Linked DNA regions of Oryctolagus cuniculus. The protein of the gene in region 3 interacts with the protein of the main gene of each other region in a biochemical or structural test. Links are inferred from orthologs where the notes say so. Each region holds a gene or a part of one and is shown on either strand. Other genes may lie near its edges. The genes, in order: SHC1, CD244, INPP5D and GRB2.

Region 1 (6,346 bases), on a different chromosome or scaffold from region 3:
AAGAGCAGGGAGGGACGTGTGCACTTCCCCAGACCACCGGGCAGTCACCCATCGTTAGCAGCCACCAGCTGCCCCATGCCCTCGCGGATGTAGACAGACTGGATCTCCTTGGTCTTGAGGCAGAGATCGCAGGCCCAGACGGCAGAGGCCTCAGTGGTCAGCAGCCCGTAGGCGCTCTCAGTCATGCCCGTGCACTCGCGGTGGAACCACTTCTGGCAGGACGCCTCACACAGAATGGCATCTTGGTCGTCGTTCACCTCGCTCCGACAGGCACCACACGGGTATACCAGGCCTGGGGCAGGCTGGGGCCCTGAGCCCCCACCTGCCTTGCCAGGGGGTGCCAGGCTGTTAGCATCTGGAGTACCCCCACCCCGGCCGCTGCTGTTTGGTGGGAAGCTGGGCTGATTCCCGTTGACAGCAGCAGCAGGGGAGCCCGAGTGGGGCTCCTGGGGAAAAGCAGTGGGAGCAGGTGGATTCAAGGGCTTCCCCCCGTCCTCACCACCAGATCCAGGAAAACCAGGGTCCGGGCCAGGGAAGGGACTTGTGTTGGGGGGCAGGCTAGGGAGTCCCTGACCTGGTCTCTGGAGCGGAGAAGGGCCAAAAGGCGCCCCTGGCTGGGCAAAGCGTTGCGGGAGGGAAGGAGGACCCAGCTCCCCTCTGGGAGGCTGTCCCATGGTGGGCGAGATCATGGGGCCAAATCCCCCCACGGGGCCTGGCATCATCTGCCCACCAGGAGGGCTGAAGTTTTGACCCAGAGGCTGGCTGAAGGGTTGGCTGGGAAAGTTCATGTTGCCTGGTGGTGGGTAACCAGGGCCCTGGGGGGGCATGTTGAAAGCAGGGCCCATAGGGTTGGGAGGGAAAGGGGGAGGCTGTCGCCGAAGTGGCTGGGGACCCCCTCCACCTCCAGTGCCGTAGCCTGGGGGTACCTGGCCCGCCATGGCCCCCTGTACGCGGAAGCCTCCAAAGGGCACAGGACTGCCAAGGAACGGAGGGGCTGTGGCCCCCACCTTAGGGGCCCCGAAGTCATCCTCAAAAGGGTTGGATGCAACCAGGTGATCCACCATGGGAGTTGGGGGTGGCGCAAACTCCGTCAGATGTGAGTATGCAGGGCCCTAGGGAGGAACAGATGAGGGAAAGAGGGTCACAGGGGCCTGACACGGAGCCAAACACACGTGGGCAGAACACCACAGACGCCGCAGCGTTCTGGAGGCAGACACCGGCCAGCCAGTGCCAAGACCAAGACGGACCTCAGAATGCAACATAGAAACAGAGGGAGCAGGGCAGAACAGCGCAGTCAGGAACGCCTTTGAAAAACAGGGAGGACCACGCTGAAGTCCCAGCTCTGACCCCAAAGCTCTCCGTGATACAAGGACAGTGCCCAGCTCCCCCAAACCATTCAGGCCCCTCGGCACAACGTCTGGCACTTAGAAAAGGTTCGCTAGGTGGTTACCTGCTACGCTGTCTTGAAGGAGCCAGGACAGGAAAAATGGGGGAAAAAGAAGGCTGCAACCCTGCCCGACCAGCTCTTGGGTAAGGGGCTCTCGTGGGGAAGGATTATCCCCTACGTTTGTTAGGAAGTTGAGGGCGAGGACCAGAAACAGAACCCACCGCCTTCCTTCTCCCTGCACCTGACGCAATACAGAGCGGACAGCGCCAGGGGCTCCTGGCAATCACGCCCACCACCAGCCAACATTCACCTGAGTATTGGACTTCCTGCGTTTCTTTTCTGGGCTCTTCATTTGCAGACCTGGAAGAGCAGCAAAAGGCAGACGAGTTTCTCCAACCTCCTCCTCCCAGCCCTGCTCCAAGAACTCGGTCAACTTCAACACACATTTATTTCGCGAATACTAACAAAGGAGTGTCATATGAAAAACGTGTCCTGAGTGGGGCCCTACTGTCAGCTATGCCTTTCTCGAAAGCAGACACCCTATCTGTTGACACTATCAGACTCCACCTGACTGGATTCCACGTGGCTCCACACCCTTGAAAGTCCTCAATCTGTCACACCTGCCCCCAACCCCGGAGCGCTACACCGACCCATCCTTTTCACCTGAGCGTCCCTTCAAGCCCTCCCCGCTCTCAGCCTTTGGGACCAACCCCACCCTCCCCTCCAAGGTTCCCAAGTCCCAGGTCTCTCCAGCCCCCGCCCCGTCTCAGCACTCTCACCGGCCTTGCCCTGCTTCCTCCCGGTGCTGGGCGGCGCAGGGGGCGGTGCGGGGCCGCCACCTCCCTCCAGCTTGTCCGGTGGGGGCGGCGCCGAGGCGGCCATGGAGTGGGGGCCGGGGATCAGCGGCGGCGGGGGATGGAGGCGCCCTCAGGCTGCACCATCCCCCGGAAGGGGAGTCGGGGCAGCACAGGCCCCCGAGCTGCTGCAGCCCCAAGGTGCGGCGAGGGGGAGGCGCCGAGCTGGAGCACGAACTGCGAGCCCGCTCCAGACTCGCCGCCCGCCCGCGGCAGCAGCAGCGACCGGAACCGGAACTCCGCTCGGCCGCCACCACCGAGCGCGGCGGGGAGGGGAAGCAAGGACTGGGAGACTCGGCGCCTCAAAACGCAGGAAGAGGGGAGAGAGGACCACGGGGCGGCCCTAGTGGAGACAGCCGTCGCCCTCTAGGGAGCGGCCGGCCCCAGCTCACCGCGGGACGCCGCCCGCCAGCCCCTGCGACCGGACCGTACCATTGCGGGCCGAGGGGCGCGTGCCCAGGAGGCACCGGCAGCCGCCGGCTGGCCTCGGACCCTGCCCCGCCCCGCCCCGCCTGCACCAGGCCCCTCCGCAGCCGCATCCCCCGGGGACAATCGGTCTCCACGCCCACCGGGCACTAAGTCGGCCGGCGCCCAGGGCCCAGCGGGCGGCGCCGGGCCCCAAGTGAGGCCAGGTGGGGCCAGCGGCGACCTGGAGCCTCCCCTCCTGCCGCGGAGGCTCCGCGCGAACAATGGGCTTGCAAGAGTGGCTAAGAAGGCGAAGTAGAAGAAATACGGATTTTAATGAAGATTATTTCCCTTTGGTATAAGTGAGACCCGTGAAAACATCCAAACACACGAAAGGAGGTGGTGGCTAGGATTAAAATTGTCAGCTTTCCCTTCCCCACAGGCCTAAAGAGCAGGACTGGCCTCTTCTGTGGTTGTGGCTGCAGTGGGCCTAGCACAGGGCCCCGCGTGTAGAAGGTACTGGGGGACCTGTGGGCTTTAAGTTCCCCCTTCGTGAAATCGACACAGCCAGCCAAACGCCTGCCTCCCAGCCTGCGGTAAGAGGTCCAAGTTCTAGTCCTGGCTCAAAATCCGTTTCTGCCTCTGGTCTCTTTTGTAAAAATAATAATAATGCTGCCAGTCCGAGTTCCTTTGCAGGCCCGGTGAGGAAAATGCCAATAGTGGTGAGAGGGCTTGGAAAAGTCAAAGAGGTGATGTGTGGATGTAGTTGATCATCATCATTTTGTGTTCAAGAACAAGCCATGGAGAACAAAATTAGGAAAGTAAACCTACAGCCATAAAATATGTGCATACAAAGTAAAAATGAGCGCGGTTCCAAATCGACAGATGGTATTTGGGATTGTCTAATGCTTTCGAGTCTCAGTGCCCTTGTTCCCGCCTCCACAGAACCCTCCTGGGAGAGTGAACTGTACAGGAGGCTCCAGTTCACACCCTGGGAAGGGAGAGGCAGAGCCGGGATACAGGAGGAAGAGCTACACTTTGGCTGTAGAGTATAACATGCATGCAACATGGGAGGGGCGGGGCGTATGAAATGTATATACAGACCCCTTGGGGAGAGGGGTCCCGGCCAGGAGGCACTGAGCAAGGGAGGGGGTCCATCTCCCCCCTGGCCGGGAGGGGGGCTCTGGGGCAATCTCTAAGGGTTGCACCTCCCCAGGGAGAGGGGACAGCTGCCACTACTGCTTCTGTTCTCCCAACCCAAACTGGAGAGGCTGCTGAGCAAGGAGGACAGGGTCCTGGGAGCCAAGACGGCGTCAGCACCCCTGTCCTTAACTCAGGGGCCCGAAAACTTCTTTGCATTAAATATCGTCAGACCTAGGAGATGGTCAAAGGCACAAAGTTAAACGCTGGGGGGAAGGCTGAGAGTGGTCTGTGACTCCCTGAAGCCCAGGGGTAGACCCGAGGTGTGATTTGTTCCCCTTTCCCCAGAAGGGTGACTGCTCCACTGGGCCTATCACCAGGGGACGTTTCCATCTCGAGTGCCCACCTTCCTGGGGAAGGGGGCATCAGGTTGGCACAGGTATGGGGGGGCCACTCTGTACATTAATACTTTGGTGAGGTTTGGGGAGAAGCAGGATTCTACCCCAGGCTCCTGACTCAAACCCTCTCCCTCAGCTGAATGCAAAACCCAGTGTCCACCCTCCTCCCAGCTCTGACCCAAGGCCAAGCCCACAGAACACTCGTTGAGTGAAGTCCTGAGAGCAGGGAACAGGGTGGAAGGGGAGGCAGGGGCGTCTTCTGTGAGAGCTCGGGGACGCGGGGACGGATCACAGTTTCCGCTCCACAGGTTGCTGGAGACACAGTTCGCTGCCCGCAGAGATGATGGGCAAGTGATTGTCCATGTGGTAGCTGATGAGGTGGCTGACACTCTCAAAGCGGTGATCCTTTGTCCGAACCTGGGAAAGTGAGAAGGAAGGGGGGTCAATTCAGGTGAGGAGCCAAGACCTCGGCGGCCCTTAAGTCTTGAAGAAAATGAAACAGTCGAGAAGGCTGAGCAAAGAGAAAAAGACGGGGGTGGGGCTGGGGGTGGGGGGTGATGGCTGGTTGAGGCTTCCCTGGAAAGAGAAGCTGGAGACAGCTGTGAGAGTGGGCAGGTGAAGGAACTACAGAAAGGCAAGGGGACCTCAGTCCAGAAAGCATGAAGCCTTTCTTGATTTGGACAGGGTTGGCGTATCTCACTGTGCAAAAAAAAAAAAAAAAAAAAAAAAGTGGGAAGGAGGCTGAAATTGTACAGAAGAGAAATGGAAGTTTTGAGGAGCAGTGAGACACTGAGTGTTAAGAGAAAGGACACTGGTCTGGGGACCTGGGGAGGCCCCCGGCTCCTCCTGCACGTGTGTGGCTCCTCACCACTGGCTATCACAACCTCTCCCCGGGGGTTTCCTCATCTGTCAAAGGAGGGACACAGAATAGACGAGCACCGTCTGGCTCTGAGGGGCTTAAGGTTTGGGGATTGGAGTACCGGCCAGGGCTGTAATGAACACAGCTCAGGCACAGCGCTGAGGGCGCTGGAGGGCGGGGCCGACAGCTGCGACTGCACCAGAGGGTACTTCCGACCACCCACGTCCACACCTCTGTCACTCACCACACCCTCGGGGTCCACCAGGAGCAGGTGCTTGGGCTGCCCGCTCTGCAGGCCGGTGAGCACGTACTGGCCAGGTGTGGTCGTGCTCTCCCGCACCAGGAAGTCCCCGTTGAGCTGCAGCAGCGCCTCAGCCTCCCGCCGGCTCAGCTTCCCATGGAACCAGGGCTCCCTTTGGAGCTGCTCAGCCATGGACACCGACTGGGGAGGTGCAGGTACCCGAAGCGCATCTTCAAAGGGCTCTGGGGGGTTACAGAGAGAGCAAGGAGCAGCAGCTGGCACAACACACTCCCGGGACGGAGACCTTCAGGGAAGGGAGGCCAGGAATGAAAGAGCAGAAAGGCAGAAGAGACGGAACCAGGTGGGAAGGCGGGGACGAAGCAGAAAGGAGAGAGGAGTACTCACTCATGTCAAAGAGGTCCCGGGGTGCGCTGCCATTGGCGGTCGCGTTGGGGGGCCCAGCCCCTCCCCCTGCCTGCCGGGCCTTGTCTAGGTTTTGGACGTTGACGTAGGAGGGATCATCAAAGAGCTCTCTGCCTGCTGCGGAAAAGGATGCTCCGTGGTGCTCCTGGCCCTGCCTGCTGCACCCCCGGCTCTTCCCTCCTCAGCTCACTCGCTCCCTCTCTCTCTGCCTCCCTTCATACCCGGGCAAGGTGGTTGAGGTGGCATCTGTTTGCGGACTTCCGGGTCTCCTCCCACAGGCTGCCCTACGGGCTGCAGGGATAAAGGAAGGTGAGACCAGCAGTCCTAACCAGCCTGGGCCCAGCCCACCTCCATCCTAGCAACTTACCAGGGTAGCTCCCAAGTGGCTGGGGGTCTGCGCACTGGGTGGAGCAGGTCGAACAGTCCCTGGGGCAGCTCCTTCCCGGAGCCTCATGTCCACCACGCCCCCCAAAGGGGGTTCCTTCCCCGGGAAGTCATTATAGTACTGATGGTCGGGTAGCTCTTCCTCCTCCTCATCCCAAGCTGATCCATCAAAGCCGGCCATTCTGGGAGGGACAGGAAGGCACAGGAGTGTGAGTACGCAGGAGAGCCGGGCAGGGCGAGGGGAACCCCACAGCA
Region 2 (8,025 bases), on a different chromosome or scaffold from region 3:
TTTTTTTTTTTTTTTTAGCTCAATGGACTTTATTTTTTTTTATTTTTTTTTTAATCTTTTATTTAATGAATATAAATTTCCAAAGTACGACTCATGGGTTACAATGGCTTCCCCCCCCATACCGTCCCTCCCACCCACAACCCTCCCCTTTCCCACTCCCTCTCCCCTTCCATTCACATCAAGATTCATTTTCGATTATCTTAATATACAGAAGATCAGCTTAGTATACCTTAAGTAAGTATTTCAACAGTTTGCTCCCACACAAAAACATAAAGTGAAAAATAATAGATGATTTTTTTTAAATGATGATGAAATCAGATCAGACCTATTGTCATGTTTAATCCCAGTGAGAGTCAAGTTGGGAATTGATAATTTCTTTCTTTCTTTTTTTTTTTTTTTTTTTTTACAGAAGATCAGTTTAGTGTACATTAAGTAAAGATTTCAGTCGTTTGCACCCCCATAGAAACACAAAGTGAAATATACTGTTTGAGTACTCGTTATAGCATTAAGCCTCAGTGTACAGCACGTTAAGGACAGAGATCCTACATGAGGAGTAAGTGCACAGTGACTCCTAAAACAGGCTTATTCTCTTCTGGGGAATGAAAACCCAAGAGTGAGTAGTTTTTTAGCCCTTTTGAGAAAGAGAAACAGAAAAAGAATTGTTTTTACCTGCTTTCATTCAAAGAAGTACACTGACAATACTCAGATGATTAGAAAGACAATAATTTTTCATTTGCATCTAGTATTAGAATTCTTAAAAGATTGCTTAACATACTTGTCAAACCAATCAGGCCCTTTTTGAAGGATTCATCTTTGACTACTTTTATAGTTTCTTCTTTTCAGGTGTACAGTAAAAGGGTTAATTTTGCCTGTAGAGAAATCTGGCCTTGGCCCTTGGCTCCTGGGAAGTAATCCATAAGCTTTGGAGTATGTTGCCTCATTAGAAAGTCTTCATTTACCAGGGACATTGAGCCATTCCAGAGAGTCTATGGTAACAATCTGAATTATAGTAGGAGATTTGGTTTGTATAGCATCAGAAGGAACCAGAGACTAAGGTCAGCCGTGGGGTGGTTAGCCAAATGCCAGTCAAAATTCTGGACACCAAAGCTTGGGAGAGCTTCCCTAGTTGTCAATACTCCATGTATATTGTTATATACCTTTTCTGGGAGGAGTAAGAGCTGTCTGTATAACTCTGTTGGAATAGGATAACTGGAATTTTGTGCATGATCCTTTTGTTTGGAAATCCCCTGGATCCTGCCATGTCTACCTCTTCCCTTGATTATTTTTTTTAAATATTTACTTATTTATTTGAAAGTCAGAATTACACACAGAGAGAAGGAGAGGCAGAGAGGAGTGCAGGGACCTTGGTGACTCAGGGAAATGCAAATGCCGTTTCTAGGGAACTCACTCATTCTTTCAGCACTCAACAATATATTAAGCAACTGTGAAGGAACAGGCCCGGAACCAGGCTCTGGGAACCCCAAACTAAGGGGAGCACGACTTTATGTTGTAGAGCTCACGATTAGGCAGAGCAGTGTGGGAACAAAGGGCAGTTATTAAGTGGTAGAGTTTGTTAAAGACCACAAGGCAGAGACACAAAAGTGGTACACCTGCTCCCAGCTTAGGATTGTGAAGCAGATTCTTAATTTGTGCTATTTGGATAGTCTCTTCCATCTGCCAGGTGAGGAAGTTTACCCTTTCTTTTTGTATCATACTTTGAGCACAACCTCCCAAGGTCAAGAGCATTGTCAGAGAAACTCTGAGGATATTCCCTGGGGATGAGGGCTTCCCTTTCGGAGAAGACAAATGATAGAAGAGATGATAACCATTAGACCAGCTTCAAAAAGCTAAATAAACAAAACCTTATCTATATCGGATACCTTACTCCATTGGATAGCTCTAACAAAATGGGCAGCTCATGAACTACATAAACTCACTTCTCACAGTTCTGTAGGCTGGGAAGTCTGAGGTCAGAGTGCCAGGGCAGTCAAGGTCTGATGAGAGTTCTTTGCTGGGTTGCAAAGTGTTTAATTCCAGCTGTGTCTTCACACAGTGGAAGAGATGAGCAAGCTCTCTGGGACTTTTCTGAAATAAAGACAATCATTCTACCCATGAAGGCTCTGCTGTCATGAACTAGTAACTTCTCTGAAGACCTCACTTCCTAATAATTGTGACTCAATGTCAACTTGAGTTTTATAGTGACAGAGTTTTATACACATGGGCTCAGGAATAATTGCTCATTTGATCCTGAAACCTACCTCTTGAAGAAGGGAAGTCAACTATTGATGATCCTGCAGAGCAGAAAGTTACCTTGGCCAGCATTACACAGCTGAACAGCAGCTCGAGCCCAGGTCTTTGACTCCAAATCCAAAGCTCTGTCCAGAGCCCCACTGCCAAGGCCTACAGCCTCTCACCTCTGTGCTGCTTCCAACAGGCTCATTGTAAATGAATAAAAGAATGGGAAAAGAGAAGAATGGTGGACTTGAAGAGAACTGAAATAGTTGCTGCTAAGAGGAAAGTGAAAGAAATAGGCACGAACCCTAGGGTATGAAGGCAGTAACCCTGCGCTTGAAGCAAAAGGGAGTGGGATGTCACTGCCCCTGCCCCTCATGGAGACCTCAGGGGTCCAGAGCTGCCTGACCTTTCAGGAGGGTGGACTCCACGTGTGCAGAGGGACGGGAGCAGAAATGACAGCACATGCTTTCTGGGTGAAGTCCAGAAAGGGAAGAGAGAACTACCGCCAGGAAGGTACAAAAAAGCATAGCATATGGAAGTATGAAGGACCTCATACTTGTGCAAAAATTCATAAATCATGAATAATCTTTCATTGTGTGCATTTTTCCATGAATTTTGAAGATACCCCCCCCCCCAGTACAGATAGAAAGCTTGGAGCAAAAGTAAATTCTTATAAAAAACATGAACTTGAATGTACTAAAACTTGGGTGTTCAACTTGCACAGAATCCCAGGCCTGTTAGATTTTTCTAATACCCCCAGTTCTGGGGCTCGTGTTGTGGTATAGTACCACATATGAGCGCCAGTTCAAGTCCCAGCTGCTCCAATCCAACTCTCTTATACGGCCTGGGAAAGCAGTAGAAAATGATCCAAGTCCTTGCCCCCCTGCATCTGCGTGGGAGACCGGGAAGAAACTCCTGGCTCCTGGCCTTGGAGTAGCCCAGATCCGGCTGTTGTTGCAGTCATCTGGGGGAGTGAACCAGTCACAGATGGAAGATCTCTCTCTCTCTCTCTCTCTCTCTCTCTCTCTCTGCCTCTGCCTCTCTGTAACTCTGACTTTCAAATAAATAAATAAATCTTAAAAAAATATTCCTAGTTCTTTGTTCTCTTCCTATGTCCTACACAGGGTTCTGGCTCTCAGTCAAACCCTCCCAACCCTTCTCCCCAGTGTGGGAAAATGGCTGTGTGCTCCTCATGTTGTCTCTCTATATTGCTAGTAGGATGGAGAGAATTGGAAAATGTCTTAGGCATCTGCCCTTTGAAGGAAGCAGCTAGGCTCCAGCGCAGGAGGGATCAGATTCTGAAGCTGGTTTTGTGGGTCAGAGTGAGCCCCAAGGACCCGCCCACTTGATGCAAACTTTGCATCAGCTATGGGAACTGTCAGACCAGGTCCAGGGACTGGGGCTTTCTCAGAGACCTTGCCAGCTTGCAGCAAATGTTAGCAGCTTCAAATTGAGGAAACTGTGGCTGGACAGGCAGTGACACGCTTTGCTACCACAGCCTTGCTACTGCCTGGTGACTGTTGAGCCTGTGTACAGCAGGGTGTCTGGCAGGGGAGAGGAGCTACCTGACTCCTCTATCCTTTGAGAATGTTGGGGCCACCCGACCCCTCTGTCCTCACCCTCACCCTGACCTTCCTCCTGCTCTTCAAACAGCACCAGGGCCAAGGTAAGAGCCCCAGCCTGGTGTGGGGGAGGGGGCTGGCATGGACCACGGGTTCCACAGCTCAGTGAGATCAGAACCCAGAGCCTCCCATCAGACCACCTGTAGGGTCACCTGGAGCTGGGATGCTGTCAGCTCCTGTGGGTTCTGACAGTGGATCGGGGAACTGAGAATGGCCTGTGCCCTTGCCATTAGCAATCCAGGCAGTCTTGGCTGAAGCAATCGCTTTTCACTGTCTTCAATCTCCCCTTCTGAGAAGTGGGGAGGAGACCTCCTCCCAGTTGCTGTAAGAACAACAAAGGAAATCTCACCCTCTAATTGTGGGATGAGAGTGGCAAAGCAGCCCCAAGGAAGCTGGAAGGTTCTGGAGCCCAGAGACAGGCAGGTAGACCACTGGGCAGGAAGGCTGAGTGGGAAGAGGGCAGGGGTGCTGGGGCAAAGCCACTGGCCAGGATAGGGGTTATACCCAAATGCCCAGTGCTTTGGCTCCTCAGCTCTTCCTGTAACCCAGGGGTTGTAGGAGCCCGAGAATTATTAGGGAAATGTTGGCTTGGAGTGGAAGTAGGAGAGCACAGTATTAGAAAGCTACACAGCAAAACTAAGGCTGTCAATAGGGCATGCAGTCTTCCAGGGCATCCTCAGGGGATCCAGTCCAAGGATGCTCCCATATTTTTCCAACTCTGGAGTCCAAGGTATTCTGAAGTTTTGATCTTATGTTTCAGGTGAGCGGCTCAGGTACAAGGGCAGGGCTGGGTGGGTACAGAGGGGGAAAGTGAGACGGAGGATGGTGTTTGTCCAGAAACTTGTGCATTAAAGTCCCAGCCCCAGGTCCCGGTTCATCATGAGCCCCTGAGGACTCACATCCTCCAGGAAGACATAGTCTAAGCTTGTGTGGATTCAGCATTTGTGAGGAATACAGACAGCTTTGGGAATAGCATGGTGAAGAACCATGAGCAGGGAGGGATGCTTGGAGCCCCAGGGCTCCGTGGGTGGGCAAGTGGGACTCAACAGCCCTGGTTGGGATTTGGTCTAAGGAGCTTAAAAAGCACCTCAGTCAGTTGAGAGAGGACTGATGAGTTTGGGGGTTCAGGGGCAAGAGTGACAGAAGGGACGAGGCTGTGTGATAGGGGCATGGCATGTCCTTCTTCCCCACCATGTCCAGGGGTACAACACCGTCTCTGCATGGTGGTGGCAGATCTGTAGCACAGTGCAACCGTAAGTGATTCCTGGAGTGAGGGAACAGGGCACATGTCGTCAGCTCTCCTCTCCTCCTTCCATATTCCGTGTCTGTGGAGCTGGCCTAATGTGAGCACCTGGAGTTGCTCTGCTTGCTTTCATTTGTAAACTTCATAGTTGGACTGGATTGCAAAGTTCCTGAGAAGCTGAAAGAATAGTGCAAAGGAACCTTGTGTTTCCTTCGCTTATGTTTATTCAACAATTACCATTTAAAATTCTCTTTTTCTTCAGAACCTTTTTCATAAACGTGGCCGGCCTGAACTGACACAAGTTAAAATAGTCTTGAAAGTCCTGTCTTATTACAACACAATAGGACAACACCGGAAGTGGGGGCAGGGTTTCGTCTCAGTTCTTTTCAGAGACTGGGTCACTTATCTATACACAGGTGGCTCACTGACCTGATGCATTAAAAACCAACTGGACAAATACATGAGAGAAGCCACTGTAGGTATTAAGCTTGTAGGAAGGTTGCTATTCAACAAATGGCAGCTTGATGGGTGGAGCTTCCCATCTACATCCTGCTAGGGCTTTAGGAGATGGTGAAAATGTCAGAGACTGCAGGATCAGACTATTTTCATGGTGTGTTTCTGTGGGTACATATATCCTTAAAATTAATAAACAATTTTCAGACTATAAAAACAATCTGACTGGCAAGGCACCACTACTAGACATACAGTGGCCATGAAACCTGCACACATGGCACTCACACAGCTTGCTTGTTCCTTAGCCATAAAGGAGCACTTGCTTTTTGGGGGGGTGATCATTGTGTTATCTTGAGACATGGGACCATTCCTTTTCTCTGGACTTTGCTAGGTGAGGTAGCAGTTGATTTGCGCCCCTGAATCTGGATGTGACAGCCTTGAGACCATCTGGCTGTGTCCTGGGGATATGGGAGGTGGCTGTTCTCTTAACGTCTTTATAAGGTCATCTATAGGGCTCTTTCAGGACTACATCCTGTTGGTTTTCACAAGCTTTTTGGACCTGGACTCCCAAGCAGCCAGCAGACCTTCGGGGGTGGGGGGAGGGTTGCCTCTCAGAGCAGTCACCCAGGGTAGCGACGAGGGGGCACAGGGACAGAAATCAGCTGAAATGCTCCACGCTGGCTTCGCCTTGCTCCATCTCATGCAGGAAGCTGTAGAACATGCAGGAGGAGAATTTAATCCTACATACAAACTTTCAATATGATTTTCTTTCTTAACCACCAACTTTGTCAAAAAATACTTCCCACTTTCTCCAATTCGCTGTTCCCAGATGTCACGCCAAACTTCCACTCCGTAGCTGTAAGTTGGTCATAGCGAGAGTCTTGACCTGTGGCGCATGGAGCAAGGGCGGACTTACGCTGCTTCCACTTTTCAGAAAAGAAAGCGGCTTTCGCCTAAGACCCCGGTGTGCAAATCTGCCCAGACCAGCTTTGCTGTGAGACTCTTCAAGCCACCATGGGGACAGAGGAGGTGGCTTTTCTCGAAGCTTCGGAGTGGGCCCAGGCTGATCTGATTGGAGGTGGCAAGTTTAGAGGGCAGAGCAGGAAACTTTCCCGCCTCTTTAGGCTCGCGAGGAAGTGGAAAAGCACTTCTGGCAGCTCTGAGTGCTGCTGCGCGCCGAGCTCCTTCTGGGGAGGCACTTTGCTGGCCATGGGCACTGGGTCATGGGTGCGGTGCAAGCATTGCACGGCTCTCACCAGCCCGCCCGCGCCCTGGAGCTGCCCGCGTGCCTCTCTCAGCTTCCCTGCCCCACCGCAGCCGCTGTCTCCCTGCGCTTTTGCAGCCGCACTTTGACCAGGGTGGGTACCCCTGCGCTCCTCCCATTTAAGCATTAAAATTTTTTTTTAATTTTAATTTTATTTGAAAAGGGAAGACGTAATGGAAGAAGAGAGGGAGAGGGAAAGGGAAAGGGAGAGGGAGAGAGAGAGAGAGAGAGAGAGAGAGAGAGAATATTTTCTATTCACTGGTTCATTAAACAAATGCCCACGATAGCTTGGGCTGTTCCAGGTGGAAGCCAGGAGCCTGAACTCAAATGTCCCTGATAGGTGGCATACTTGGGCCATCACCGGCTGCCTCCCGGAATGCACATTAGCAGGAGGCTGGACTGAAAACAGAGGCAGGATTTGAAACCACAGCCTCCTATGTGAGCATCCCAAGTGGCATCACAACCATTGTGCAAAATGCCCACTCCACCTGTTAGTGACAGTTTGTCACATTTGCAGTAATTTTTCCCTCTATAAACGTTCATATAAACATACATTTATTTTTCTCCCCATACATGTGTGTATAAATGTATAATAATAATAATTTTTGCTGAACCATTTTAGAAGTTGCAGGTACCATGGCTTCCTTACTTCTAAATATCTTAGCCCGTGTGTCCTACAAGCCAGGACTCTCTCTCATAACTGCAGTACAATTGCCAAAGTTATAAGTCTAACACTGATACTATCAAACATGCAGTCACTGGTGACCAGCTTTCCCCGTAATGTACGTTCTGGTATCTTTTCCCCTGACCCAGGTCCTAATCAGGCTCATGTATGGCATTTGGTTGCTATACCCGCTCTGTCATAGTCCATCTGTTTTTTTTTTTTTTTTTTTTTTTTTTGACAGGCAGAGTGGACAGTGAGAGAGAGAGAGAGACAGAGAGAAAGGTCTTCCTTTTGCCGTTGGTTCACCCTCCAATGGCCGGCGCGGCCGGCGTGCTGCGGCTGGCGCACCGCACTGCTGATGGCAGGAGCCAGGTACTTATCCTGGTCTCCCATGGGGTGCAGGGCCCAAATACTTGGGCCATCCTGGCCTGGAAGAGGGGCAACTGGGACAGAATCCGGTGCCCTGACTGGGACTAGAACCCGGTGTGCCGGCGCCGCAAGGCAGAGGATTAGCCTAGTGAGCCGCACGCCGGCCCCATAGTCC
Region 3 (7,544 bases):
TTTTTAAAAGAAGCGCTCCGTACTGTGTGTGGATACACCTGTGGTGAAGTATACATTCTTGACTGCGGGGAGACACACCAGCTTCAGAATGGTAGGTGAGTTCAGGGGCAGGAAGGGAGAGGGAGGGTGCGGGAGAAGGACCAGGAGGAGAAGTGTGCCAGGGAGGAGTACAAAAGAGTAGCATTTTATTTCTCTAAAAATCAGGAGCAAATGTGGCAAAATATGTGAAATATGTATATCTGAAATATTTTGTAATTAGGAAGAACTTTAATGGGCACATAGGGTATACCAAATAATAACTAATTCCTCACACTACAAAAATGTATCAACTGATTACATATTATTTAGGCCACACAAAGGTATGTACATACATTAGAGCATTGATAAATAAGATTCAAAAATAAATTTTAAAATGCACAATTAAAAAAATAATAAGGTCACACATCATTGTGAAGATGTGGTCATTCATTTAAATAGAGTGGTTTAATCAGATTTAACCCGAATTGCAAGATGAGCCTTGAGAAGGCTTCAAAAGCAAATAGATCTCAACAAACAAAAACAAAGCCCCTTTTATGATTTGGTCCTTGCTAAGTAACCAAAACCCAGTAGAGACACTAGAAAGCACAAGAAGCTGCGATAACGGAACACAGTCATCTTTGCTCCCCAGGCCAGGGCCTGTACATCTTCATTAAAAACTAATCACTATTTAAAAACGTCAATTAAACATAGAGAATTAAATTCTGCTTTATATTCGTGTATCATTGCTTGATTTTGAGAAACCTATAAACTAGGCTTTTCTTTTTTTTTTTTTAAGAGTTTATTTATTTGAGAGAGTTGTGGAGGGAGGGAGAGAGCGGATAGCTTCCGCCTCCCCGAGACGCTGTCTGCGACAGTCACGCCACAGCCTCGCTTGTCTTCATCTCCTGTCTGAGTGATGCAGTCACTCTAGCTCGGAACAAAAACCTAGCACTGAAGTCTGTCTCGACAGCCCCGGCGTGCTGTGCCCTCACGGGCAGCTCTTAGCCTTGGCTGAGACACCCCCAGAGAGCCTGGGGTCACACCCGCCTCTGGCTCCTAACCCGCACTTCCGCCAATGCGGACCCTGGGGAGCCAGGGTGAGGGCTCGGGTCCCCGAGTCCCTGCCAGTCCTGTGGGACTTGGGTCGAGTCTCATCCTCTCCCAGCTGGCGCAGACGTCTGGGCAGGGAATCACAGCTGAGGACTCCCCCGCCCTCTCTCTCACTGTCTCTCAGATACATAGATAAAAAACTGTAAAATCTATAGCCTCATAATTTTTCACAGGGAGAGGGAGAGAGGGAGAGAGGGAGAGGGAGAGATGGAGAGAGGGAGAAGGGGAGAGAGAGGAGACTCCCTAAAGAATAAAATGTATTTGGGAATACCAGAGCATTGCAATAGAAATTCTGAAATAAATATTCCTTTGAAAATCTCGGGACCGGCACTGTTGCATAGCAGGTAAAGCCACCGCCTGTGATGCCGGCATCCCATATGGGCACCCGTTAGAGTCCTGGCTGATCCACTTCCAATCCAGTTCCCTGATAAAGCTCTTGGGAAAACAGTGGAAGACAGCCCAAGTCCTTGTCCCTGCACCCACGTGGGAGACCTGGAAGAAGCTCCTGGCTCCTGGCTTCAGCCTGGCCCAACCTGGTTGTTGCAGCCTTTTGGGGAGTGAACCAGTGGATGGAAGATCTCTTTCCTTCTCTCTCTCCCTCTCTGTAATTCTACCTTTCAAATAAATAAATAAAATTTAAAAACAAAACAACAACAAAAGAGCACAATTATCACATGATCTAGCAATTCTACTACTTGGAATATATCTAAAATAATTGAAAAGAAAAGAAAACCTCACTGAGTGCTGTTCATTGTGTTATTTTAGGTGGACAACATGGGACATACTTTGTCTAAAAACTCCCCATTGTCCCAAGCAGAGTCAGGCGCTTCCCGACCCTGACATAGCTGGTGGAGAGAATGGGAGGAGGCGGCCTGGGACTTGGGCTCAGCGTCCTGTGCAGGCTCCTGGTCCTGGATGCACAAGGCGCCAGCCTCCCTCAGCCCGGCCACGTCCAGGGTGGCCCAGGGCCTGCAACAGCACTGAAACAGAGCCCTGGCCAGTGCCCATGTCCCCTTCTGTCCTTTCCCGCATCTCTTATTGGCCCCTGATTTCCTCAGCTCTCTCGCTTGTGGGTGCTTGCACACAGGTGCACGTGTTTCCCATGTTTCCACTGTGAGCCGTGAGTTCTTTTGACATAGTCAGGGCCATCCCGTTGCACAACAGCAGGGGGCGCCCCACCCGCAGAAGGCGTGAGGGAGGAGCTGCGACATGTGGGCGGGGCCTCAAGGAGCTCAGACTCCCACTGTGGGTTCACTGGGGAGTAGAACTCAGCCATGGTCAAGGCAACTGCACTTCCTGGCTTCTTAGCACCTGCGAGCCAAGCTGATCTCTTTGGAGAGAGGTCAGGGCCCTTGCAAGGAGGGGTGGACCTCCCTTCATCCCTGGCCTGAGCCGCTCTTGCCCATTCTTCTAAACAGGAATGGAGAGGGATTTGCACGCTCTTCCCTTCTCCCTGGCTGGCGCCTACACATCCTCCGCCCTCCGTGGGGAGCCCTTCTTTTGCCAGCAAGGAAGCCGCTGCTCTCTCCATCCTGAGCTTCTCGGCTCACCTGCCTCCTTCCCAATAGAGTGTGTGTCCGCTGAGGGACAGGAGGGAGCCTCCATTGCTCTGTGGTCCCTAAGCGTAGGACAGTGTCTGCTTAGTGGGAGTCACCTCCCGGGGGCTGCGGGCACTGAGCTCTCCCTGTCACTGCGCTTGCTTGAGGGGTTTGTGCTTTGCCTGCTGTCTGTTGTGGATGCCCCTGGATGTGCCTCTGACTCACTTGGTGTCGGGTTTTGCTGTTGAAGGTAACGCACCCCCTCCCAAGAAGATCACGTCCTGGTTTCTCTCCAAGGGGCAGGGAAAGACGCGGGACGACACCGCCGACTACATCCCCCACGACATCTACGTGATCGGCACCCAGGAGGACCCCCTGGGGGAGAAGGAGTGGCTGGAGATACTCAGGCACTCCCTGCAAGAAATCACCAGCATGACCTTTAAAACAGTGAGCAGCTGCCCCCAGCCTGCGGGCCGGGCCGGGCCGGGCCGGGCCGGGGGGCTCCGGGGGAGGGCTCTCGGAGGCCAGGGCAGCCTCAGGCTGTCAGCTCTCCACTTCTAAAGGTGTCTGGCAGCCCAGTGGTCCCCCCACTTCTGGGTCCAGAGAGATCACTGTATTCAGAACTCAATGGGGCTCGTAGGCCATTCCTGCAAACTCCACCTCCCCACCGCCTGGCTTGCAGGGGACTCGGACCCCAGTCCCCGTCGTTAGGATGCTCTGCCTCCGTGCTGGCATCGAGGGGCTGGGCTGGGGCTGTGCTCTGGGTTCAGACACCACACCCTGGCCGTCCAGTGCAGCACTGTGCACCCCACCAGGTCGCCATCCACACCCTCTGGAACATCCGCATCGTGGTGCTGGCCAAGCCGGAGCATGAGAACCGCATCAGCCACATCTGCACGGACAACGTGAAGACGGGCATCGCAAACACGCTGGGTAAGCGCAGAGGGGCCCAGCTCGGGGTCTACTTCATCCCGGCAGCTGGGATAACGCTCGGGGCGACGCAGGGCGTCTCTGAAGGTCCTCGGCACACTCAGGGTCTGCACCAGTGCTCTGGGGATCTGGCTGAAATGCGGGTTCTGACTCAGCAGGTCTCGGGTGGAGCTCCCAGGAGGCACTGGGGCTACAAGCAGGTGCAGGGCGCCACGCTGAGGAGCAAGAACCTAGAAGAGGGGTGCAGGGACGTCTGCCAGAAAGGGCCCCTAAGTAACTATCCAGGGCCTCGTGGGCCACGTGCAGCTGGCGGGAAGCATCAGCGGCACAGAAAGTGAGGGTGGGGCTGTGTCCCAGGGGCACGTGAGTCTCAGACGCAGGCTGCAGGCCCCAGGCCCCAGGCCTCTTCAGGTTGCAGCGGGAAGCACTGGTGTCAGAGTCAGGGTCAAGGTCGAGGGAGCAGTGAGCTTCAGAGAACTGAGAGAGGAGCGGCAGGGAGACTGCAGGAGTGTGCGCACCTGTATGTGAGTGTGTGTGCAAGTGTGGGAGTGTGTCTACACGCATGTGCTTGTGTAAATGTGTGGGTGGGGATGAGTGAGCAAGCCTGTTTGGAGGAGTGCACGTTAATGTGAGTCTGTAGGTCAGTATGTGAGTGTGTGCGTAGGTGTGTCCAAGTGTGTGTGTGTGTGCACATGTGTTTGTGGTTGTGTGTCCATGTGTGAATGTGCCACCCTGGGTCTATGAATCTGTGTATCAGTCTATCATGTGAGTGTGTGTGCGTCGTTATGTGAGTTTATATGAATCTGTGTATACGAGCCTTTGCATATGAGTTTCCGAGTACACACGTGTGGGCATGTGCACGAGTGTCCAAGTGTGCCTGTGAGTGTCTGAGAGCACTCTGGGCGTGTGTGCAGGGGGGAATGAGTGTGCAAGTGTGTGCCCAAGCACATGGGTGAGGGTCCAAGTGTGCAGATGATGTGGATGTGATGTGAGCGCATGCAAGTGTGTGTCTGGCGTGTCTCCTGTGTGCATGAGTGTGTATGTGTAGGGGTGTGCATGGATGTATCTGAGCGCACACATGCGTGTGAGCGTCTGAGTGCATGTGGGTGTGGGTGCACTGTCACGGGGCCACAGGTGAAGCTGAGGGCGGGGACTTCGGTTTCCGGCGGTTGGAGTCTGGGACAGGACGGTCCTGAGATAACAGGAAATAGAAGGATCGCTGCTGTCAGATGTGAAAAGTGACAAACCGCGAACTGCCCACATCCACGCCCACCGTCCTCCTCCCTTCCTGCCGGCTGCACAGGGCCTGCATGGCCACTCTGGCCTGAGCCTTGCCCTCCCTGCCCAGGAGCCTCCCTTGTCCCGACTCCATCCCCCCGGGTTTCCTGCCTCCCCCACCAGCCTGCTGTACAATTTGCTAAAACCTCGCAGAGCTCGTTACCAACACTGCACAGATGCCCAGGAATCCCCACGCAGCCGGGTGCCAGGCTCCAGGCTGGGTACAGGGTAGTCCCCAAGCAGTAGGCATCCCGCTCACATGAACTCAACAGACAGCGAGTGAGCCAGCAGGTGCAAAGATGGCTCTGAGAGTGAGCTGGCAGAGAAGGGCGTGGTGGAGGGGAGAGGGGCACCAGGGAAGGCGAGGGACAGGGCTGAGTCTCGGAGACGCGGAGGTCACAGCCTCCTGCCTCCTCTCTCCCTCTCTTCTCCCCGAGGGCCTGTCTTCCTCCTCCACTCTCCCAGAGGCTCCCAGGGAGCTCAGTGAGTGAACGCTGGCTGGTCGGCTGGCAGGACGTCGGCCCCACACAGCTAAGGCCCTTGCGGGGTACCCGACACACACGGCGGCCGGGGTGATCTGATTTCATGCAGCCCTGCGGTGGAGGGCACAGGCTGTTCTCCCCACTCACAGATGAAGAAATTGAGGCCATGGAGGGATCTGTACCTGGCCTGGGCAGGGGTTCAAACCCACATTGTCAGGACCCCTGAGCTAGAAGGGGGAAATCTCTGGAGGGCGCCGGGGCCAGGGCCCAAGGCAGGAAGCCGGGTGCTCGTCCTAGTTCTGTGTCTGAGCCACATCACCTGACATCTGCCCAGGCTACTGATCCCCACTCTGGGTCCTGAGGAGGCGGGGCTGGGCGACCTCCAAGGTCCCTCAGGTTCCCGTCTATCCAGAGCTGTCCAGTGGACATCCGATGGGCAGAGCCAGAGCCCCATAGTAAGTAAACGGAAAGCAGTGAGATTCATTTCAGCGATAGATTCCATCAGAACTCACACATCCCAGATGTTGTTTCTGTGGGTATGCGGTAGGACAAAATATGAGACATCTTAGTCTGTTTTCTTACCGGGGCTTCTGGTACCAGCTTCAGACTAGCCCCGTGTCCCACGCTCGGTGGCCGCACAAGGCTGTGCCTGCCGTACTGGGCACTCTCCGGCACGGGTCGCTATCACCCAGCAGGGTTGGCAAGTTTTGTCGGTGAAGGGCCAGAGGGTGACTATTTGAGGTTGTGCAGGCCAGGTGGTCTCTGATGCAAACACTCAACTCCCATTCTCTGTGGCCTGAAAAGCAGCCAGGGCAATGTTTGGATAAGCAGGGGTGTCTGTGTCCCAATAAATATGACACGGGAACCCCAAAACTTGAATCTCATATTTTATTTTAAGATTTATTTATTTATTTGAAAGAGCGTTACACAGAAAGAGAAGGAGAGGCAGAGAGAGAGAGAGAAGTCTCCCATCTGCTGGTTCACTCCCCAGTTGGCTGCAATGGCCAGAGCTGCGCTGATTTGAAGCCAAGAACTTCCTCCAGGTTCCCATGGGGGTGCAGGGGCCCAAGAACTTGGGCCATCTTCCAGTGCTTTCCCAGCCATGGTAGAGAGCTGGATTGGAAGTGGAGCAGCGGGACTTGAACCAGCGCCCCATGGGATGCCGGCACTGCAGGCAGCGGCTTCACCTGCTACGCCACAGTGCCGGCCCCAAATCTCATATTTTAATGTGAAGCAAAGAATTCTTCTTTGATTGATTTTTTTCCCAGTAAGCGTGGCTGCTCCTGCTGCCTTCCAGCCCCCAGCACATCCCTCTTAGAAGAAGCCAGCACTGCTCGGATCGCACGCCCCTTCCTTAGTCCGATGGTGCAGGGGCTCTCTTGTCAGTGGACCCCAACAGTGGTACACACGTACGGGGTGCGCGCGACGTTGCCACTCGCGTGCACCCCCTGTGATGCTGTGGGTCTTGCCTTTCCCTCCCTCTAGGGAATAAAGGAGCCGTGGGGGTGTCATTCATGTTCAACGGGACTTCCCTGGGGTTCGTCAACAGCCACTTGACTTCCGGAAGTGAGAAGAAGCTCAGGTAACGGAGCCCATCCCCTCCCCCCACACACACACACAGAGCCTGTATTTGGGTGATTTGCCAGGACAGACCCCACAGCCCTCAATGCTGAAACCACCCGCTCCTCCCTCTGCAGGTACTGTTGGTTTTTGCGTCCCCGCTGTGGTCTCAGTAAAGGGATCCGCGGCACAGCAGGGCCTCCTGTGTGTCACCTCCTGCGTGTCACCCGCAACCTAGACGCCACCCCCTTCTAAAGGGCAAGAGCTCTCCTGAAATATCAGTGTGGATCAAAGTCCCTTCTGCCTACGGGGGCCGGGCCACAATTGTGTGAAGACAGCCACCCAGAACACTCCCAGCAGGCAGATCCCACGGCTCCTGGCCCTGCCCTCGGCCTCCCCAGTTTGGACTCAGACCCTTTGTAGCCCAGCCCTGACCCACCTGCCTGCTGCAGGAGTCATGGGCATGCTGTGGGGTCAGCTGTAGGGGCAGGGGTCAGAGGTGCACTGTGGGGTCAGCTGTAGGGGCAGGGGTCACAGGTGCACTGTGGGGTCAGCTGTACGGGCAGGGGTCACAGGTGCACTGTGGGGTCAGCCGTGTGGGCAGGGGTCACAGGTGCACTGTGGGGTC
Region 4 (4,227 bases), on a different chromosome or scaffold from region 3:
GCACCACAGGCGGCAGCTTTACCCACTATGTCACTGCGTGAGCCCCCAGGCTACCATTATGGGGTGCCTCATGGAGCTCTGCCAGCTTGTTTTCAAAAAACCCCCAGTGATTCTTACGCACACGAAATGTAAGAATCACTGCTATACTGTAAGGGTGCCTTAACCCTTACAGAAGATGCGTTCCAAACAATGCACAGGTCTTCGCATAAAATGAAAGCGATACACATGCACTTGGCACAACCAGGAAAAGCCAACCTTGACAAAGTTGAAAACCAGACTCTTGGTGCCCGCTCTGTGTCGGTGGGGAGTCCTCTGAATCAAGCAGATGACCACAGCGGCTGCCTGTGTCACCTCCGCTCTCCAGTCTACCACTCTCGGGTTCTGCGGAGCAGGCAGGGCTGCAGCTGCACAACAGGGACACAGCGACAGGAATCGCTCAGGGAATGCCGGGAGTCCCACAAACAAGTCGTGTTGGAAACCCGGCGGTTCTCTCAAATCCAAGTGACTCGTGGGAAAGTAAACTGACACAAGCACATAAATGCTTGTGTTTGAGACGGGTGCTGTGGGGTAGCGGGTAAAGCCGCCGCCTGCAGTGCCGGCATCCCATGTGGGCGCCGGTTCGAGTCCTGACTGCTCCACTTCTGATCCAGCTCTCAGCTATGGCCTGGGAAAGCAGAAGAAGATGGCCCAAGTCCTTGGGCCCCTGCACCCACATGGGAGACCTGGAGGAAGCTCCTGGCTCTGGATCAGCCCAGCTCCAGTCATTGCAGCCATTTGGGGAGTGACCAGAGGGTCGAAGATTGATCTCTCTCCTCTCTCTCTCTCTCTCTCTCACTTTTTTTTTTTTTTTTGACAGGCAGAGTGGACAGTGAGAGAGAGAGACAGAGAGAAAGGTCTTCCTTTGCCGTTGGTTCACCCTCCAATGGCTGCCGCGGCCGGCGCGCTGCGGCCGGCGCACCGCGCTGATCCGATGGCAGGAGCCAGGAGCCAGGTGCTTTTCCTGGTCTCCCATGGGGTGCAGGGCCCAAGCACCTGGGCCATCCTCCACTGCACTCCCTGGCCACAGCAGAGGGCTGGCCTGGAAGAGGGGCAACCGGGACAGAATCCGGCGCCCCAACCGGGACTAGAACCCGGTGTGCCGGCGCCGCTAGGCGGAGGATTAGCCTAGTGAGCCGCGGCGCCGGCATCTCTCTCTCACTCTCACTCTACCTCTGCCTTTCAAATAAATAAATAAATCCTTAAAAAAAAAAAAAAAAGCTTGTGTATACCACTTCCCCTTCCTCCCTCCAAAAAAAAAAAAATTGATTATGAGAATTAACTTTTTAAAATTTTATCTTGGGATCAGAAAACTTTTGAGCTAGGGGCACATAAAGGTATTTCTTTTCTGGGCAAAAACAACAATGAAGGCCGATTACAACAGATGAAGAAAAGAGCCCCAATCTTAAAAAGAAGTCCGATAAAGAATCAGCGCTATGAAAACGGGCAGGCTTTAACTCACCAGCGGCATAATTTCTATCCGCTTAAACCTCCCAGGCTACCTTAGTTCTATCTTAATAGGGGTCTATGGTTGATTCTCGCTTGTTAACACTCACCACCCCGGCTAAACACCAAAAAGATGGCTTATGAGCCCCCGAGTGACCCAACACGGGGAGGACAGCCGAGGCAAGCGTGGTCCTTAAAGGCGGAAAAACCGAAAACGTCAATCACACGAGCAAGCCGCGCCTGACCCAGGGGCAGTATCGATTACTTACGGATGCGCCTGGCGGTTCCCAGGGGGAGAATGGAAGCCCCCACGGCTCTGGCCGGAGGACCACAGGGCGCGCTCAGAGCACGGGAACGGAGCAGCAGGGAAGGGGGGCATTCCCGGGGAAGAATCGGCGTCCCCCCCAAAGGGCAGAAACCTCACAAAATTATGCCAGCGAAGAGGAAGGGGAAGTAGATGAGGGTGGGGGCAGGGGCCAGCGATCGCACTGCCCGGGCAGCGCAGAGAAGCCCAGGGAGAGGGGAGGCCGTAGCCGACGCAAGCCCAAGTCGCAGGGGCCGAGAAAGGCCAAGGAGCCCCTCGCCGGCTTCGCGCGCCCTGGAAGTGAACGGCGCCGCGCCCGCGCCCGCGGGTCCCCGTCCCAGACCAGCCGAGCCCGGGCACGGCCGTCCGCGGGACCCTGCCCGGAGCACGCCAACCCGCCGCCGCGGCTCCCTCCGGACCAGATACCTGTTCCCCGGGCGGGCGGGCGAAGCGCCGGGCTCCGGCAGCGCACGCCCCAACCCACGCAGGGTTCCCGCACAAAATCCGGCCCCAGACGCCGGGAGCTGGCGACGCGGTTGCCGTGCGGGTCGAAGGAGCATCCGGCACCGCACCGGCACCGCACCCCGCGCCCTGCGTGCCCGTCCGCCGCGGGGCCGCACACGACGCGGGCAGGCACCGGATTTCACCAGAGAGCCCCAGGCTCTGCCCGGGTCCCGGGGCCGGAGGAGGACCGTCCCCAGGAAGGAAGCGCCCCACACGGGCAGACGGGCGCTCCCTCGCCCCGGCGCCCCGAGGGCCGTCGGCGGGCCGGGCCCGGTGCCCCCGCCGAGGAGCGGCAGGAAGAGGCACGGGCCCGCGCCGAGCGCCGCCGGCCGCACTCACCGTGGCGCAGCTGTCCGGCCCCGCGCCCGGCCCGCCCGTCCGCAGCGCCGCGAGCGGCCGCCGACCTCGCTGCTGCCCCCGGAGCGCAGCGCCCGCTCCCGCGCCGCCGCCGCCGCCGCCGCCCGGTCTCCGAAGCAGCAGAGCCGCCTCGCTTCCGCTCCTCGTCCCGGTCCCGCGAGAACTTCCCCACGCCGCCCCGCCCCGCCGCGCCCCGCCCCGCCCCCGCGAGACTTCCCCCGGCGGAAAAGGCCCAGAGCGCAAGCGCCCGGCGTCTCTCAGGTAGACCCTCTGGAGGCCAGGGCGCATGCGCAAGGCGGCCCCCAGCAGGTGGCCCCGGCGTGGCTCCGCCCCTGCGCCGTTGTAACCCTCTCGGTGCCAGAGCGGGTGGCTGACAGCTCAGCCCTAAGGAATGACATTTTACAAGCTCTGATCACTGTCCCTTCCCCTTCCACCAAGTCAAGGCAATGACGGAGCAGGGGAGAGCTTCTTCCGGCATGAAGCACTCCAAATGGAGGACCAGACCTTGAAATCTTTGCGAACCCACTCCACACTGCAGTATTAGATAAATTAGTGGATTCCTTCCCTCTTTCAAAAATTCATGGGAAATGAGTACTGTGGAAAACACAGTCCACACGCATTCAGATTTTTTGCACCCAAAATATTTTTAAAAATATGCAATTTAAATGAATTATTTGTATCTATTTTTATTTATTTGAAAGGCAGATAGACTGAGGCAGATTCTCCATCTGTTGGTTCATTCCTGCAACAACTGGAGCTGGGCCAGGCAGAAGCCAGGACCCTGGAATTCAGTCCACGTGGGTGGCAGGGACCAAGTTCTTGAACGAGCACCTGCTGCCTCCCAGTGTACACATTAGCAGGAATCTGAACTCTGGAATCGGGAGTGAAGCCAGAACTCAAACCCAAGCATTCAAGTATCTGGAATGCGGGTGTCTCAAAGGGGTTATTTTTAAAATTTATTTGAAAGGCAGAGTAACAGGCAGAGAGAGAGAGAAAATCTCCCACTGGCTGGTTCGCTCCCCAGATGACCACAACGGCCAGAGCTGTACCAATCTGAAGCCAGGAACCAGGGGCTTATTCCAGGTCTCCCACGTGGGTGCAGGGGCCCACAGACTTGGGCCATCCTCCACTGCTTCTCCAGGCCACAGCAGAGAGCTGGATCAGAAGTGGAGCAGCCGGGACTTGAACCAGTGCCCATAAGGGATGCCGGCACAGCAGGTGGTGGCTTTACCCGCTACACCACAGTGCCGACCCCTCAAAAAGGAATCTTCACCACTGCCCCAAATGCCTGCCCCTTAGTTGTCTTTTAATTCCATCCTTTCACACATTTCGAAGCGCCCTCCTATCACCGAGTAATGTGCTGGGTATAGAAATCCTGGCCATCAGGGGAGGCAGATGAGAAGCAAACACTAGGACGGGTAGAGTTATTTGGGAAAGGCCAAGGACGGTAAAAAGATAAGGGAGGAACTGCTACTCTGCCCGCTGCAGACAAGACTCTGCTGAGTCTGGGGCGAGGAGGAGTTCGCAGGCGGAGAAGCCAAAGCTGGGGCAAATCCGGCAGAGAACGGCACGGAAGAGCC

Evidence for each region.
Region 1: the proteins of INPP5D (region 3) and SHC1 form a complex in vitro, tested with the Homo sapiens proteins (2 studies listed by BioGRID and IntAct, with this or other methods). The link is inferred for Oryctolagus cuniculus from reciprocal best matches to the Homo sapiens genes INPP5D and SHC1.
Region 2: the proteins of INPP5D (region 3) and CD244 interact in a biophysical measurement, tested with the Homo sapiens proteins (2 studies listed by IntAct). The link is inferred for Oryctolagus cuniculus from reciprocal best matches to the Homo sapiens genes INPP5D and CD244.
Region 4: the proteins of INPP5D (region 3) and GRB2 interact in a test that uses a peptide from one of them, tested with the Homo sapiens proteins (2 studies listed by BioGRID). The link is inferred for Oryctolagus cuniculus from reciprocal best matches to the Homo sapiens genes INPP5D and GRB2.

Annotation. Positions count from the first base shown.
Region 1 is NC_091438.1:43,544,109-43,550,454, reverse strand, and holds the end of SHC1 (SHC-transforming protein 1), read right to left. Parts: intron 6,274-6,346; coding exon 6,075-6,273; intron 5,999-6,074; coding exon 5,929-5,998; intron 5,825-5,928; coding exon 5,690-5,824; intron 5,527-5,689; coding exon 5,288-5,526; intron 4,602-5,287; coding exon 4,473-4,601; 3' UTR 2,963-4,472; downstream 1-2,962. Other genes in the region: PBXIP1 (pre-B-cell leukemia transcription factor-interacting protein 1), read right to left, coding at 1,008-1,112, 1,698-1,747, 2,167-2,269. UniProt on the Homo sapiens protein: Signaling adapter that couples activated growth factor receptors to signaling pathways. Participates in a signaling cascade initiated by activated KIT and KITLG/SCF.
Region 2 is NC_091438.1:38,066,080-38,074,104, forward strand, and holds the start of CD244 (natural killer cell receptor 2B4), read left to right. Parts: upstream 1-3,615; 5' UTR 3,616-3,822; coding exon 3,823-3,901; intron 3,902-6,211; exon of another isoform or gene 6,212-6,944; intron 6,945-8,025. UniProt on the Homo sapiens protein: Heterophilic receptor of the signaling lymphocytic activation molecule (SLAM) family; its ligand is CD48.
Region 3 is NC_091434.1:6,371,172-6,378,715, reverse strand, and holds part of INPP5D (phosphatidylinositol 3,4,5-trisphosphate 5-phosphatase 1), read left to right. Parts: intron 1-2,916; coding exon 2,917-3,113; intron 3,114-3,481; coding exon 3,482-3,599; intron 3,600-6,841; coding exon 6,842-6,938; intron 6,939-7,544. UniProt on the Homo sapiens protein: Phosphatidylinositol (PtdIns) phosphatase that specifically hydrolyzes the 5-phosphate of phosphatidylinositol-3,4,5-trisphosphate (PtdIns(3,4,5)P3) to produce PtdIns(3,4)P2, thereby negatively regulating the PI3K (phosphoinositide 3-kinase) pathways.
Region 4 is NC_091448.1:5,146,173-5,150,399, reverse strand, and holds the start of GRB2 (growth factor receptor-bound protein 2), read right to left. Parts: upstream 2,801-4,227; 5' UTR 2,630-2,800; intron 1-2,629. UniProt on the Homo sapiens protein: Non-enzymatic adapter protein that plays a pivotal role in precisely regulated signaling cascades from cell surface receptors to cellular responses, including signaling transduction and gene expression.